Linked DNA regions of Mus musculus: all the other regions are reported to be linked to region 5. The links are microRNA targets in miRTarBase. Many come from high-throughput screens and were not tested one by one. Region 5 holds a microRNA gene; each other region holds the end of a gene's coding sequence.

Region 1 (3,064 bases), not on the chromosome of region 5:
GGGGTTATAGGGGGCTTTGGGGATAGCATTTGAAATGTAAATGAAGAAAATATCTAATAAAAAATAAAAAGAGAAAAAAAGATTAAAGATCTTATTGTCTTTCTGAGAAAATGAAGCATCTAGGACTTTGGGAAGTCAGGGACTTCAATAATAAGCTACATTATTTAAAATCTAATAAACCAAAAATTGCTTTTATGGTACCCAAGGGAGAATGACAATCTAAATAATCAGAACCTAGAAGAGTCGCCTGATGCTAATGGCTCACTCTTTTGTACTGGAAGCACTTTAGGAGCCTGATTTAAATTCTTCCTGTCTACTGATGTTTGGGAGAAACAGAGAGTCTTTTTGTCCTGCTAAGGTTAGATAGAGGCTAAGTATAAAGAGCCCAGACTCTGGCAAGCAGGAGTATAAATGTTCTGTGTTGTTGATTTGGTTTTTTATTTGGTTATTTGAAGCACTATAATTATTAATACCCATTCTGCAATCATAGTGCATGGCTTCATAATCATAGGCCTATCATTATTAGCAGTAGAGTCTTACATAATTTACTTAATCTCCATAAAAGTCAGCTCTTTTATCCTAAAATAAGAGTAATAATAATTTCTACTTCATAAGACTATTGGGACAATTAAATAGCATAGCCTATATATAGGGACCAATATAATGCCTGGCACATACACATATTATCAATATGTGATAATTGATAATAATTATTTTAAAGATATTTAAAATCCCTATATGATACATATATATGTATATATAAATATGAAATAAATATAGGATTAAGAATTTGTACAATAAAGACACACACACACACACATACACAAACACACACATAAATGTCTTATAGTCTCTGCATTCACCCACTTACAAGCTATGTAAATAAAACAGATTATACTAAAATAAATTAAAAAAAAGAAATCAGAAAGCCAGTTGTGTACAACATCAATCTTAGATATAACATTAATTAAAACTCATAAAAGAAACTTGAAATGAAATGGGGGAAAACCAAGAGATCTTTGAATGTATAGCAATTAAATAAAAGTTGTGTTAGCTCTGTGGAATTTCTTGTCCCAAACTGAAGTTTTTATATATGTATAGTCAATAAACCCCCACAGCAATTATATCTTAAATATCTCACTATGGGAATATAAATACCATTTAAAAGCTGGGTGTCTATTGTTTTCTAAAAAATGTCTATTGATGGTTAAACACTTATCTTAGGATTGTTCTAGTTTTTGTGAAAATCTCTTCTCTGGATTTTATCAAAGTGGGAATTTAAGCTGAAAGAACTAGGTAAAGAGGCCATATCTAAGTAGCTGTAAAAGATAAAAGGAAAAGGCCTACATTGTGAACTCGGGTGTGGCTGTGCACACCTGTAACACAGCTCTTAATGGCAAGAATGAAAGAGCATTGCTTTTGAAGTAAAAAAGCCCTACCTATCACAGAGAGGCATTGTCTCAAGCAGCCAGGAAAATACTCCAATGTAAGTTTAGAATCCTTCCTTTAGATTCATAAAACAATGTACCAGAATTACTTTAGAGGGTGAAAAGTATCATACAGGATAGGGTAGGGCAGATAGCAGTTCCTTCTTTTAAGTTGATTTAGTGTGTTTGTGAATGGATCACAGACCACTTGTGGAGGTCAGAGGACAACATGCAAGAGTTAGGTCTCTTCTTCCACTTTTCCAGTTCTGAGGATTGAACTCATGTTTGAGGTCTTGGTGGCAAGTGTCTTTACACACTGAGCCCTCTCTCTGGCACTCCATAACAGTTATGTACTGTGTATTTAAAAACAAAACAAAACAAAACAAAACAAAACAAAAACAAAAACAAAAACAAAAACAATAACAAATGATTGTGAATGTGCTTGGTCTGGAGAAATGATAGATATTGGAGGAGACAGATATGCTTTGCCTAATTCAAGTATTAAAAATATATATCCATATTGAATGGTATCTTGCTAATAGATGTGAGCTTTATATTTATCAGTTGAAAAATTAAAAGTTTATGACTATCTGTTTATAGTATCTAAAATAAAAGTTTAGGTCCAGAATGTTGTTGGGTTAAATAACAAAAATGACAAATGATGTTTTCTCAATACCCACTAGCCTCTGTAATCACTTTTAGAGGCACTGTACAACTCCAAAAACCCATATGAAATAGATCCCAATGTATAGAATGAGGCCATAGAGTCATGGAGAAGGCAAGGTTCTTGCTGGTAACATACAAATGGTCAATTAAAGACCTAGAATTTGGGCAGAAGGAGTCTAAGAGAAAGGCTGATGTGAACTTCTGAGCTGTGGGAGCTAATAATCCAGCATGAAGTGGAAGAACCCTTCCATTGGCATACACCATAAAGTCCACAAGCTTCTTTAAAACCATCAGCCAGACTCTCCATGTCCACCACAAGAAGCAGAGACTTTTATATCTATCCCGAAGCCAAGGAAGCCAAGGGAAGGATTGCCCTCTATGGCTCATCAAGAAGGCTGGATAGAAACAAATTCCCAAGCTCCCAGCACTAGGCCAATACAGGGTCAGCAGGGTACCTGACAACTGAGAAGCAGAGGGGTCGGGCTCATAAGCACAGACCTCGTTCCTAAGAAATTCTGGCTTCATTTTGTGCTGTGTTTTTAACCCACTTCCTAGAGACAGAAGTCGGTAATAAGACACAGGAGCAATGAATTAAAAGGAGAAAGCCAGAACTTTAGAAGACAGAGGTAGAGGAGTAAACCCCCATCTCTGCCTACCACCCCAAGCCTCTCTACCTGCCACCTCGATGGGCACTCCTTACATCTGTGTGAGGAGGTACAATTTCATTATATTCTCTTTCCATTCGGGCAGATAGGCTAAGCTTGTAGCCACTTCCTTCTGGATAGGCCAGCCCCAGGCCTCAAAGAATGGAGCCAGATTCCTCTGCACTTGCTGGGAGAACATCTTGACCCATAGATTCATTTTGTCGACGTTGTCTGAGGGCGGCGAGCTCGATGTTGTCTGGTTTCTGTACTCGGTGAAGAGACGAATAAATGGCTCCCAACCAAAGGCCTCTTGGAGCTAGAAAGGGA
Region 2 (3,064 bases), not on the chromosome of region 5:
TTAAGACTAAGGCCCAACAAAGGTATAGAGAGGGTGAACTGCTGGATAAATATTTCTACAAATTTATCAGGGAGAAAAAATTAAAGTAGGCCAAAGATTAGAATAAAGAAATTATTGGAGTCAACACTGTAACAAAACAGACAACAAAGACATTTCCCTCAGACAAGTGGGTTATAAATAAATTTTAAAAAACTTTCCTTCAAGGATAAACCAATTTGTAGAAGTATTCCATAAAGTCTATAAAAGTCTCTAATTAAAAAAACAAAACCCTAATACATTAATTAGTATGTTCTATTGCAGGGCATAGAGTATGATTGTAGCTGATGTGCGATACATGAGATTCGTTTTCATTCTCCGTAAGGAGAAAGCATATACCCCTGTAGCCAACCTGGCTCACTGTCATGAAGGAAGAATAAGTGCTTTTGCCACAGCAGCAATGACCCAGTACCGTCTAACCCATGCACAGCCTGTCCTGAGCTTCCTCTGACTAACGTGCTGTGGTGTGAGACTATGCTCGTCTGTTCCCAAACTGGAAAAAGGTCTGCCTCTCCAAAAGACAAATCCACATGAGGGGTTCTGACATTTAAGGGAAGACTGCCGCCCCCCCAAACCGCAGCAAATGTGACTTTGTAACTTTGCACTAATGCACTTGATACCACGTTTCTCTTTGTAACCTAGATACATTTAAAAAGGAAGCCATAGACATTTAATTTTTTTGGCCATAATTCCTTTTGATGCATTTTTGGTCAGCTAATCAGATACTGATCTTGTAAGGTTATCTTTCTGAGAAATCTTACTATGAATTAAACAAATTATGACCAGCCTAAAGATGGCATGATTTGGGCAAACATGAGGTAAATTCACTCAACTGCTTGTGAAGTTGCCAGAAGCCCAGCTGGGTTCCTGTACATGGTCACTTGGAGGCCCACAGCCACATCTAGAACAATCTCTCTTAACCCACAGCTACCTTCCATAGGACATCTGGAGCAATCTCTCTTAAGAAAGTATTCTTTCCTACCTACAACTTAATTTCCCCCAAATCTACTTTTCAAGAAACTGTCATTCAACCTTCCACCAACAGAAAAGAGAAACTTAGGAAACCCAAAAAGTGACTTATGATAGTCTTAAATTTATATATTTCTCTTAAAGTGTTTTAACTCATTTTTTATAGAAAATAAGCTTTAAAACCCTCTTTTATATCTCATCAAAATTTTGTGCAAATATTTCAAGTCCATTATTCTAGTCTTCAGACACTAGGAAAAAGTCAATAAATACAAATATTATTATAATTTTAAATTTCCAATGTATGTTATGGAAACTTGAAAGTATGATGGATCCATAAGTTAATAAGATTCAAAACTCAATTACCAGCACAAAACTCTAGCACCAACAGAGTTTACAACTGATATGCCATAGGCATCTCCAGCTCTCCAAATCTACCCAGTAGCAATATAAGCAAAGAGTAAATGTGTACGTAAAACAAGATGTTACAGCAACATATAACTGGTTTACATAAAATATGACAACTGTCAGCATGGGAATTTGTCTGATAAATGGAGAAGCAGTAGGACTAGATTACTGATCCTAGAAAGGAGAGATGAAACTACTAAGGACTCCCCCACTAAAAGCCTGGTCTTTCCTCACTGGGGACCTTTTGCATAGACTTCCTAAATACACAAAACCTGGCCAGAACCCTGCTTACAGACAGCTACCTTCCACCGTCACTTTGAATCTTTAGTTAAAATAGCAGCCATACTCACAAGAAGAATAAGCATCGGGGTGAGATTCTGATAACCACAACAGGACTACATCAGCCAAGTACACATCCTGCCTGATACATGGAATATTTTGACTTTTCTGGTATGTAGAGAGAAGGCTGGATAGCATGAGGAGGGACTTGGGCCTCTGAGATGGATAAGTAAACTTGTGTTTACCTGAGACAAGTATGTGCAAATGGTATGTAATTCAGCCAGGATACAAAATGGAAGAACCAAACTAATAGAAGCTTCTGCATTTTAATTTTAAGATTTGCTGAAATGGAACCTCCAACATAGTAATAAGCTGCACATAAAGCTATTAGAGAGCAGACTGTTTTCAAAAAACAAATTGGCAGGTGATGGCTATGCACTTAATGTATCTTTGGTTTAGGAAGACGAGAATATCGATTAGAGGCCACACAATCCCCAGAATGCAAACCGCTGTGTGGAGCATGCAGCTCTTTTGGCCGTGCTAATGGCCTTGGGATGCTTGTCTTGGCCTGGAAGTTCTGAGGCTCTACTTGGGGGTTACTTATTTGTTTTTGCTTGAAAGAGCCAGAAGGGGGACGGAGTTTAGACGTTTTCAGATTCAAATGATTTGCAGGATTGTTTTGATTCGATGTTGGCTGATGTTTTGAATGGCATGGTGTGATTCCTGGTGCCTTCTTACATGTGGAAGTTCTACTTGGTGAGGAGTCAGAATCTGGAGGAGGTGTCAAAGAACTCAAGTTGGATGGCTTTAAAAGCTGCAAGGACTTGGGCTGAGGACATTGGTTTCTTCCACCCCTCTTAGTCTGGTCCACTGTACTTGACTGGGAAGGGGTCTGAGGAGGAGGAGTTACAAACTGCAAGTCACTAGGTTTTTTCTCTGCCAAATGATGAGGCTCTTGAGCATCCAGAGTCATGCTCAGGTCCGTTTCAGAAGGTATGTACTTCACCACATCCACTGTCAACTGCGGGCTTGACGAAGAAGGACGCTCTTGCAAACCACGGCTGTTGTCCTGTTGCAAGCCATGTGTACAGCTTCCATCTGGATGCGCACCACCCGGACACACGCCTTGAACTGTGTAGTCACTGTGGGCCTCGGTACGTTGTGGCTTTATTAGTTTTCCCTGGGCGTGGTCTGTAGATCTGGGAAGGCTGCTGGAAGGCTGTAGTACTTGAGGCTGTTAAAATTTAAAAACATCACCAATAATTTATATTAAAAATTTACCAAGAATTAATACAAGTTTAATTATAATTAGGCAAAATTGCCACTTATACTTTAATATGGAAAATATATGATTTTTTAAAGAATGAATTGCAAT
Region 3 (3,064 bases), not on the chromosome of region 5:
GCCCATCCCAGAACTGGATCTGTCGGAGCTGGAAGGCCTGGGCCTGTCAGATACACCTACCTACGAGAGCAAGGATAGCAGCAGCGTTGGCAAAATGAACGGGCAGGCATCTGGGACGGAGCAGAAGAACCCTGAAGGTGACCCCCTCCTTGAGTACAGCACCTTCAACTTCTGGAGAGCGCCTATTGCCAGCATCCACTCTGTCGACCTGGACTTGCTTTAAGGCCAAGATCTCTCTCCCACCCCGTACCTTCATTATCTTCCCTCTTAAGTCCCTTCCTCTCTAAGCCTTCCACTTTAATCTTGTTCTCTTCCCTCTATTGTGCTGGTGGTGCTGATGAATCTGCCAATTGAATTGTAGGTTTGTATGTATGTACGTACTTATTTATCTATCTATATTTATTTATTTATTTATTTATCTGCCTACTCCGTTTCTCTCAAAAGCCCTCTAGGCACAAAGTCAAGGGTTTAATCAATGGAGTACTAGATCATAGGATTTCCTCCCGTCAGCCCGGAGAATATTAACTAATCCCAGAAAAGAATCACCCTTATTTGAGGCACCACAGAGAGGTACAGTTGTGCAAAATGGGAGACCAATTATTTTGTTTGTTTGTTACATTTTAATCAACTTCAAAGATTACTTGAGCCTCCCTAATGTCCTCTACCAGGCCAGTAAGCAAATACTGCTTCAAGAAGTAATGAGAACCTGGAAGTTTTGAGACACTTTCTACAAAACAGGATTTCTAAAAGGCTAAGATAAGAAATGCTGCTGCTGCTTACAATGCATTCTCTTCCCCAGAAACACGCAGGCAGTTAAAGGTGGGAAACAAAGGAGTGGGATGAGGAAAAACATCGCACCGTTTCAGAGGTAGCTCCTTTAATATCCAGCTCTGCTTCCAGCTGTGGGTAGAAATGCTCAGAAAATCAGATTTGAGTCTTCACAGGGAAACTTCACTATGAGGATAATTCCTAAAAGACAAAAGATGTATCTGATCTAAAGAAACACCAGAGTATTATTAGGGGAATTTATATAAAATTGTGATTTTGTCATGGAACAGGCAGATGTTTTGGTCCTAAGTATTTTAGCTTTGCCTTTCTGTAGTTGCAGTATGTGATAGGAATCAGTGATTCCTGACACAGTTCTTTGGCCGCCATAAGACCGTGAAGTAAGCAGTTATGTTCAGACCCTACCCGTCCCCATTCCTTCCAAAGCTATTGCAGATGAATTGCGGAGCTGTTTATTCATTTATGGAATAAAGACGTTAAATCCTAAGTCTGGGGCTTAGTTTTTTCCATTCCAATGAAGTACTACAGATTTTACTCACACTTCCGAATCCAGCTTTCCCTTTTATCTTTTTTTCTTTCTTTTTTTTTTTAAGTGAAGCTTTTCTTTTTATTTTAAAAAGATTTACTATACTATATATGAGTACACTGTTGCACTCTTCAGACACACCAGAAGAGGGCATTGGGTCCCATTACAAGTGAGCCAACATGTGGTTGGTGGGGATTGAACTCAGGACCTCTGGAAGAGCAGTCAGTGCTCTTAACCACTGAGTCATCTCTCCAGCGCTTCCTTCTGTCTGTCTAATATTTGACTTTGAAGAACAATTTAGGATTTGGACATAGCTCAATGGTAGAAGGGCTTGCCAAGCATCTACAAGGCCCTGCTAGGGTTCCCCTGTAAGCAGCCAGTGCTCAGAGATTAGCCACGCCCCCCAGCCCATTATTAACTTTTAAATTTGTGTGGTTTTCTTCGGAGGCGGGCCTTGAACTCAGAGAAATCCACCTGACTCTGCTGGACTCTGCTAGGGTGGGCCTAGCACTTTGGTATTAAATTAGGAGACCTGTGCCTCCTGCTGTGATCAAAGGCGTGTTTGTTATTATTACTGATTTTAATTTTTAGTGTGCATTGGTGTTTTGCCTAAATGTATGCTTGCTTGTGTGAGGGTGTCAGATCTTGGAGTTAAAGGCAGTTGTAAGCTGCAATGTGGGTGCTGGGAATTGAACTGGGGTCTCCTAAGGCATTGCTCCAGCGTCCTGTTATTGATTTTTGAAAGGTTTTCTCCGAGCTTTCTCTCGGTCCTTATATCAGTTAAAATGGTGAACAGAAACCAAGATAGACTGGTAAATGAAAGACATGCAATTTCATGTCCCATCCTATTCTAGTCTTCCCCCCAAAAGTTCAGGGGTTCTTTCCTGACCTATATTCAGGACACTGGGAAAGTGTCCGGTCAGACAGGAGTGCATAACCAGAAGGTCCCGAATAGCGGAAGCAAGATTCTCCCCCAACCCTCAAGTTAGCCCGGCGTTGAACCAGCAGGAAGGTAGAGTGCGGACGCCAACACGCACCAGTAACCAGTTCCTCCGAGCGCTGCACTGGTTGGCGCCAAAACTACCATCTGCGTCCGTCCCCTGCCGGAACTATCCCTCACGTAAGCCACGTAATCGGTGATCCTGCGCCTCGCTAAGTAGTCCCGCTCAGGATGCCCGCGGTATACGTTTTTCCAGCTCACGAGGTCCTCAGTAGGAAGGAGTCGGACTCAGAGGTGCGTTGAGGTCCTGAGAGAAGGGCAAAGTGGCTCCGCTAACCCATTTCCTTCAGATTCCTCCGCCAGGACGTATAGTCACAGCGCCTTCACTTCCGGGTCCGCCATTTTATTGCCTCCATTTCTCCGTGAGGGGGGGTAAGGGCCCCCCCAAATATGCATATGTGAAAAGGCCGAAAAGTGAGGCCGCTGGCAAGGAGTCTTAACTAGAGAAAGAAACGGGACCAAACTGGCGGGCCCAGTGAGAGCGAAGCCGGCAGCGCTCCGGAATAGGTGAGGGGGAAAGGACACGCAGGGTTCCGGAGCTTCCGAACTGCGATGCAAGGGGCAGTGATAAGTGGCCGGCCCAGCCCGGCCAGGACCTGTGGGCGCCGGCCTGCACACTGCCGGAGCGGGGGTGGCGGCGGGGGGGAGAGGGACCAAGAGGAAGGGGATGCTGTCGGGAGGAAGGGGAGGGGACTGGGAGGTGAAGGGGGTGGGTGGAAGACCTGGGGCTGGGGAGCTGGACTCCGGGAAGC
Region 4 (3,064 bases), not on the chromosome of region 5:
TTTCCTAGCTTTCTTGGGAGGGATCAGATGGGGTTTTGTTCTGCCAGAAAGTAGTCCAGCCAAACCAGACTACATTAATTTAGCTAGCAGTATGAGTCCTATTCTGTTTTCATGGGCAGCCATCCTATTTTCTGAAAGACTCAATGAAGCCATAGTCACATTAATAATAGGTTTAGGGATAGCATTACACAATGAACTTTTCCTCTTACCACATTATCCCAACTGGTTCAAAGCCTTAAGGATTGTAAGTACTTTAGTGGCTTTTATCTCATTTGTAGTCACTTTAATACTTGAAAATATTTATCCAGAAAAAGGGCCCAAGAGACCCGATTAAATAGAAATATAAAAATACTTTCTTGGTATTATTTACAGTGTCTGTGGAGGCCAGAAGACTGTTGAATCCCCTGAAGCTAGCTTTTTTTTTTTGTTTTGTTTTGAAGAAATATTTGTTTATTTTATATGAGTACACTGTAGCTGTCTTCAAACACACCAGAGGTGGGCATCAGATGCCCATTGCAGATGGTTGTGAGCCACCATGTGGTTGCTGGGAATTGAACTCAGGACCTCTGGAAGAGCAGTCAGTGCTCTTAACCACTGAGCCATCTCTCCAGAGACCCCTGGAGCTAGCTTTACAGACAGTTCTGAGCTACTCAATATCTAGGCTGGGAGCTAAACTTGGGTCTAGAGCAGTACATAGTCTTGAGCATTGAGCCTGTATCTCTTATCCTGTAAAGCTGCATTTTAGCATCACAATTATGTTCCTCCTTTGGCTCCTTCCTCCCCACCCCCACCCCCCCACAGGTAGGAATTTATTCTTCATACATAGTTTTTGTTTTTGTTTTCTAAAGAGTATTTCTTTTAGCCAGATGGCGGTAGTACACACCTTTTATCCTAGAAGAAAGGAGGCAGAGGCAGGTGGATCTCTGAGTTCGAGGCCAGCCTGGTCTATAAAGAGAGTTTCAGGAGAGCCAAGGCTACACAGAGAAACCCTGTCTCAAAAAGTTACAGATATCCACCTGCCTTTGCCTCCTGAGTGTTGGGATTATAAAAATTATTTCAGGGCTGGTGAGATGGCTCAGTGGGTAAGAGCACCCGACTGCTCTTCCGAAGGTCCAGAGTTCAAATCCCAGCAACCACATGGTGGCTCACAACCATCTGTAACGAGATCTGATTCCCTCTTCTGGAGTGTCTGAAGACAGCTACAATGTACTTACATATAATAAATAAATAAATCTTTAAAAAAAAAAAATTATTTCAAAGTAACTTATTTTGAAAAATGTCCTAATCCTTATTATGTCATATAAGGTTAGTTTACATTTTTGTGTGTCTGTGAATTGTATAGTCATGTACCTAAACATTTCAGTGTTTTGATTATACTGAGAAAAGTAAAAGATGAAAAATCCTGTATTAGAATCTAGCAATCATGAAGTCATATTTCATGAAAAGAATCCTACTTGTGGTTTGAAGAGATTTGGCTCCCATAGACTCATGTGTTTGAATCTGTTTGGCCCAGAGAGTGGCACTATTAGATGTGTGGCCTTGTTGGAGGATGTGTCACTGTGGGGGTAGGCTTTGAGACCCTCCTCCTAGCTGCCCTGAAGACAGTCTTCTCCTGGTTGCCTTTGGTACAAGATGTAGGACTCTCAGCAGTGCCAGTGCTGCCATGCTCCTGCCTTGATGATAATGAACTGAACCTCTGAACCTGTAAGCCAGCCCCAATTAAATGTTGTCCTTTATAAGAGTTGCCTTGGTCATGGTGTCTCCTCACAGCGATGGGAATCTAAGGCACTACTAAGAACCTTAAAAATAAAAGTATTGCTGTCAAGTTTTTTTAGCACTTCTGGATTGTCTAAGCCTTTGTTTCTTTTGTTTGTTTGTTTGTTTTTTTGAGACAGGGCCTTACTATGTAGCTCTGGCTTTACTGAAACTCACTATGTAGGCCATGGTAGCCTGGAGCATATAGACGTCTGCCTGTCTTTGTTTCTAACGTGCTAGAATTAAAGGCGTGTGGCATGACACCTGGTTTGTCTAAGTGTATTTTACCTGACATAACTTAGTTTTATGAAGTGAAATGACCTGTGGCTCTCAAGGTGGTAGGCAATAGTGGAATAAGGAAAGCCACTCACAGAAAGGCTGTTCACATGTCTAAGCTTTTGTTTGGTGTTTTCTGACCACATTTAACCTACAGAAGCTTTTAAAATAATAGCAAAAGGGCTAGAGACATACATGGCTTAGTGGTTGAGAGCACCCCCTTCTCTGCTAGAGAAACCATGTTCAATTGTCAGTACCTGCACTGTGCTAACAAGTTCTTGGGGTTTGGATGTGGCCTTCTTGGGCACAAGACAAGTATGTGGTACATAGACATATATTCAGATAAAATACTCATATACACTAAAATAAAAATTTTCAAATATTAAAACATGATCAGGCATTGTAAACTACATAGATCAGCGTTATATACTTAGCAAGTTCCAGGACAGCCAGTACTACACAGAGAAATAAATTAAACAATGGCAAAAAGCATTGCTTGGTTTGCTTTCCCTCCTCCCATAGTAGTATGGCTTGAACCTAGTGCCTCCTACATTCTGTACAAGCACAGCTACTGAGCAATATACGAACAGGCCAACAATTCAGATTTTAACTTGAAAACCTAGTCTGGGGGCTTGGGAATGTGGCTTGGTGGATAAAATACTTGCTTATCATGCAAAGCCCTCAGTTTGCTCTCCAGTACCCCACAGGCTGGGAGTGATAACACAAGTGTTCAATCCTAGCACTTAGGAGGTCAAGGCAGGAGGATCAGAGATTATGTTGTGTAACTGTAAATCAAAGGAAATTATTTTTGAATGTTATATCTTTGATATAAGCAGTCAAACACCACTTTACAAGTTGTATGAGTAAATTATACACACACACACACACACACACACACACACACACACACACACACGTTTTCTCTTCTACTAATTCCTACTATGAGAATAACTATCAAGATAGTGACTGTGCTTTTCAGATGTTTTCAGTGTTACACTAGAGTAAGAGTATTTTTATTCCAGACGATGATTGA
Region 5 (3,121 bases):
GCGCGCGCGCGTGCGTGCGTGCGTGCGTGTGTGTGTGTGTGTGTGTGTGTGTGTGTGTGTGTGTAGACGGGCGCGCGCGCGTGCGTGTGTGTGTGCATGCGCGCGTGTCTGTCTGTGCTCGCATATGTGCCCGTCCTTAAGCCCTGTGTGTGTGTGTGTGTGTGTGTGTGTGCATGCGCGCGTGTCTGTCTGTGCGCGCATATGTGCCCGTCCTTAAGCCCTGGCATCTTGCCAGTCAGTGCATCCCAGCATAGGCAGAGTACATTCTTGTAACATACTCCCTCATGGAACTGGGGTGACCACAGATTGGTCTCATACACCCCAGGTCTGGGTTATCCCTCCCGTTCAAGCCATCCCCAAAGGATCCCAGGATCTTCAGGTCGCAGCACCTACTGACCACAGAACTATATTTACACCTTCCTAGAAGCAGGTGGAGCAAGGTTGGGGATAGGTGCAATGCAGGTTAGGAGCCCAGGGTGTGGTAGATATAGTGGTGCAGCTGGTATTCCCAAACTCCAGACACTGGAGGAGTTTGATTCAAGGTCAGCCTGGTCTACACAGAAATGCTGTTTCAAGAGAAATGAAAAAAGCCAGCAACACACATGTGGGAGGCGGGAATGAAGAGACGTCAGCCCTTACGGAATGAGGCTGTGGAGCTTTTATTTAGTTGGAGAACAACATTCAATACAAGCTTTCAACTCTGTTCTTCCACCCAGGCTTCGATTTGCCCCTGCCCAGAGTAGGGAGAGGACACTGTATGGTCTGGGAAGTGTAACTCAGCCAGTTCCAATTAGTCTGCATGCAGTCTCATTTGTGGGTAGTAGGCAACTTTTTAACTTCCAAGCCTGGAGATTACTTCAACAGGCCAATGGGGGGGGGGGGCATGGATCTGTTCATATCCTGAGGCCTGTGTGGACCTCGCTCCCTGCCTCGCTGTCACCAGCAGAAAGCTGCAGACCCCATGGGATTGCTAGGCACACTGGATCAGGTCAGTGCCTTCTTCCGGAAGCAGAGAGTTGGCATTTAACCGTTAGAGGGCCTAAAGCAGCTTCCTCTTGGGTAACTGACTTCAAAGATGGTATGTATAAGGGGTGGTGCCTGAGCCCCACCAGACTTAGGAAAAGAAGGGCTTCCAGGCCCTGAGGGGACATAACTGGCTTTTAATGCAAGGGTTACCCGCCCATCTATCTGCTTTGGGGAACCACAGAAATCTCAAGGTGGACACCCAGATGCAGGCTTAGAGGCTGAGCCTCCAGCAGACAACGGGGCTTAGGTTGGACTAATTACCCCATTGTTTCCAGGTCTTGCTCACGGCAGACATTCTGCAGGGTTGCCAGCTCCTAGGGGGCTGGACTCCTGTTCCTGCTGAACTGAGCCAGTGCACTGGAATCAACTGTTTCAGCTCAGTAGGCACGGGAGGCGGAGCCCGGAGAGAGGCAGAGCCCTGCCAGCCAGGAGGCAGAGCAGGGTGGGCAGCAGCGGCCTGAGGAGATGGGGTCCAGGGGGCGGAACTTAGCCACTGTGAACACGACTTTGCTGTGGACCTTGCTCACAAGCAGCTAAGCCCTGCTCCTCAGGCCAGTTGTCATGATAGGCTTCTCTGTTACCCAGTACCCAAGACAGACATCCTTGGCGACAGGAGCCCCCAAGGCAGAGCACAGGGTCAGTTGGAAATCCCTGGCAATGTGATTTGTGACTGGCATCAAATCCCATCCCCAGGAACCCCAGCCGTCCGAGGCACAGTGAGGGGGGCAGCAGGTGGGAGCGGAGTGTAGCACCTAAAGAGAGAAAGAAGAGACAGTGAGATTGGAGCATTCTTGCTTGCCTGCCTATCTTGACCAGGCTGGGTCTCACATAGCTGAACACAAGGTTTCCGAATGCACCAGTTCTTCCTGCCTCTACCTCTGGAGTCTAGGATTATAGGTACACCTCACCACACACAGTTTAAGTGGTGCTGGGGACAGAATCTAAACTCAGCTTGCTGATCCACACCCTAGCCCTCCTCTACTTCCAAGAGGGAAGAAGCATTCCCAAAAAAGAGGAGCATCGATCCGTAGGAAGGTTGGAGCGAGGCTGCTGGATGCTGGGCACCCAGCAGTGCCTCTACCCCAGCCCTACAAAGCGGGAGGTGCCTGAAGCCCTAAGGCCAAAGGGGCTGCAGAGCCTTCCCAGCTGCTTCCCACTCTGCTTCTATCCCCACCCACAGCCCTGAGCCCAAAGCAGGCCAAATGGGGCCATGGAGAGGAAGCTGAGGGAGGTGGACGGTTGGAGGGAGGAAGTGACCTCACCCCAGCTGGCGCCACTTCCTAGAAGCCTGAAGGGCAGGAGGAAACTCCAGGGCCTCCCACCTCAGCCCTCTCCTCCCCAGCCAGCTCAGACATAACCCCACCCCCACCCCACACCACCTAGGGCCCAAGCAAGGAGAAGCAGGCCGATGCACCCCAACAATAACACCTCAGTAAAGTTTCCCCTAGGCCTTCCAAGCCTCAGTTTCCCCATCTGTAAAGCAGACTACAACAGTTGCAGTTGGTGGCTCACGTTTATCTCAGCATTGAGGAAACTGAGGCAGGAAGGTTGCCAAGAATGGAGTCAAAAGCCTGCTTAAGCTACATGATGAGTTTTAGGCCTAACTGGGCTACAGTTTGAGACCCTAGTCTTAAATAGAAGAAAAACAAAAATAAAACAACAAAACCCCAAACCTTCTACTAGGAAGGCCAGTGAAAACTTACAGAGAAGGTATTTAGCACCCAGTACCAGGGCAAGCCACAAAATTTGGGGCCTACCCAATGTAGAGTAGTGTCCTGCGTGCCAGTTAAAGTTTTCAGGGGCCAGCAAGCTGATCCAGCAAGTGAGCAGAGCTGCTATGGAGCCCAATGCCCTGAGCTCAAACCCAAGAACCACGAAGAAGAAAAGCATACGGACCCTTGCAAGTTGTCCTCTGATCTCTGCACTTGGGAACACACACACACAATTTTTAAAAATTGTTTAAAGAATTTCAATGTTGGAGAGATGACAGGTTTCTTTCCCAGAACCTACATGACAAGCACAGCTATCTATAGCTCCATTCCCAAGAGCTCCAACGCTCCCCACTGGCCCCTGTGGGTACCAGGCATACATATGG

The links. The annotated mature microRNA mmu-miR-24-3p reads UGGCUCAGUUCAGCAGGAACAG and lies in region 5 at 1,357-1,378, opposite strand. An mRNA with a match to its seed (bases 2 to 7 or 8) in the 3' UTR can be bound and repressed. Matches are read on the target gene's strand: a 7mer-m8 pairs with bases 2 to 8, a 7mer-A1 pairs with bases 2 to 7 and ends in A, and an 8mer does both.
Region 1: miRTarBase lists Tcaf1 as a target of mmu-miR-24-3p. The part of its 3' UTR that is shown has no 7-base or 8-base seed match.
Region 2: the mRNA of Ccser2 is a reported target of mmu-miR-24-3p. Seed matches in the 3' UTR shown: 7mer-A1 at 390-396.
Region 3: the mRNA of Mllt11 is a reported target of mmu-miR-24-3p. Seed matches in the 3' UTR shown: 7mer-A1 at 1,483-1,489.
Region 4: miRTarBase lists Tmem69 as a target of mmu-miR-24-3p. Seed matches in the 3' UTR shown: 7mer-A1 at 527-533 and 8mer at 595-602.

The regions. Positions count from the first base shown.
Region 1 is chr6:42,670,586-42,673,649 of GRCm38, forward strand. It overlaps Tcaf1 (TRPM8 channel-associated factor 1), which reads right to left. Exons shown (of 9, transcript NM_001355769.1): 8 at 2,768-3,053. The coding sequence ends at 2,790. Among named protein-coding and RNA genes, the nearest start is that of Tcaf2, 27 kb to the left of the region's middle.
Region 2 is chr14:36,876,840-36,879,903 of GRCm38, forward strand. It overlaps Ccser2 (coiled-coil serine rich 2), which reads right to left. Exons shown (of 11, transcript NM_027045.1): 11 at 1-2,923. The coding sequence ends at 2,829. Among named protein-coding and RNA genes, the nearest start is that of Ccser2, 90 kb to the right of the region's middle.
Region 3 is chr3:95,217,344-95,220,407 of GRCm38, reverse strand. Mllt11 (myeloid/lymphoid or mixed-lineage leukemia; translocated to, 11) reads left to right here. Exons shown (of 2, transcript NM_019914.4): 2 at 1-1,864. The coding sequence ends at 223. It overlaps Gabpb2 (GA repeat binding protein, beta 2), which reads left to right and starts at 2,466. Exons shown (of 10, transcript NM_029885.1): 1 at 2,466-2,819. It overlaps Gm16740 (predicted gene, 16740), which reads right to left and starts at 2,951. Exons shown (of 4, transcript NR_108026.1): 1 at 2,350-2,951; 2 at 859-969.
Region 4 is chr4:116,550,304-116,553,367 of GRCm38, reverse strand. It overlaps Tmem69 (transmembrane protein 69), which reads left to right. Exons shown (of 3, transcript NM_177670.4): 3 at 1-1,840. The coding sequence ends at 334. Among named protein-coding and RNA genes, the nearest start is that of Tmem69, 4.1 kb to the left of the region's middle.
Region 5 is chr8:84,207,132-84,210,252 of GRCm38, reverse strand. It overlaps Mir24-2 (microRNA 24-2), which reads right to left and starts at 1,438; the gene lies at 1,332-1,438. It overlaps Mir23a (microRNA 23a), which reads right to left and starts at 1,735; the gene lies at 1,661-1,735. Mir27a (microRNA 27a) reads right to left here and starts at 1,581; the gene lies at 1,495-1,581. It overlaps Mir3074-2 (microRNA 3074-2), which reads left to right and starts at 1,346; the gene lies at 1,346-1,428.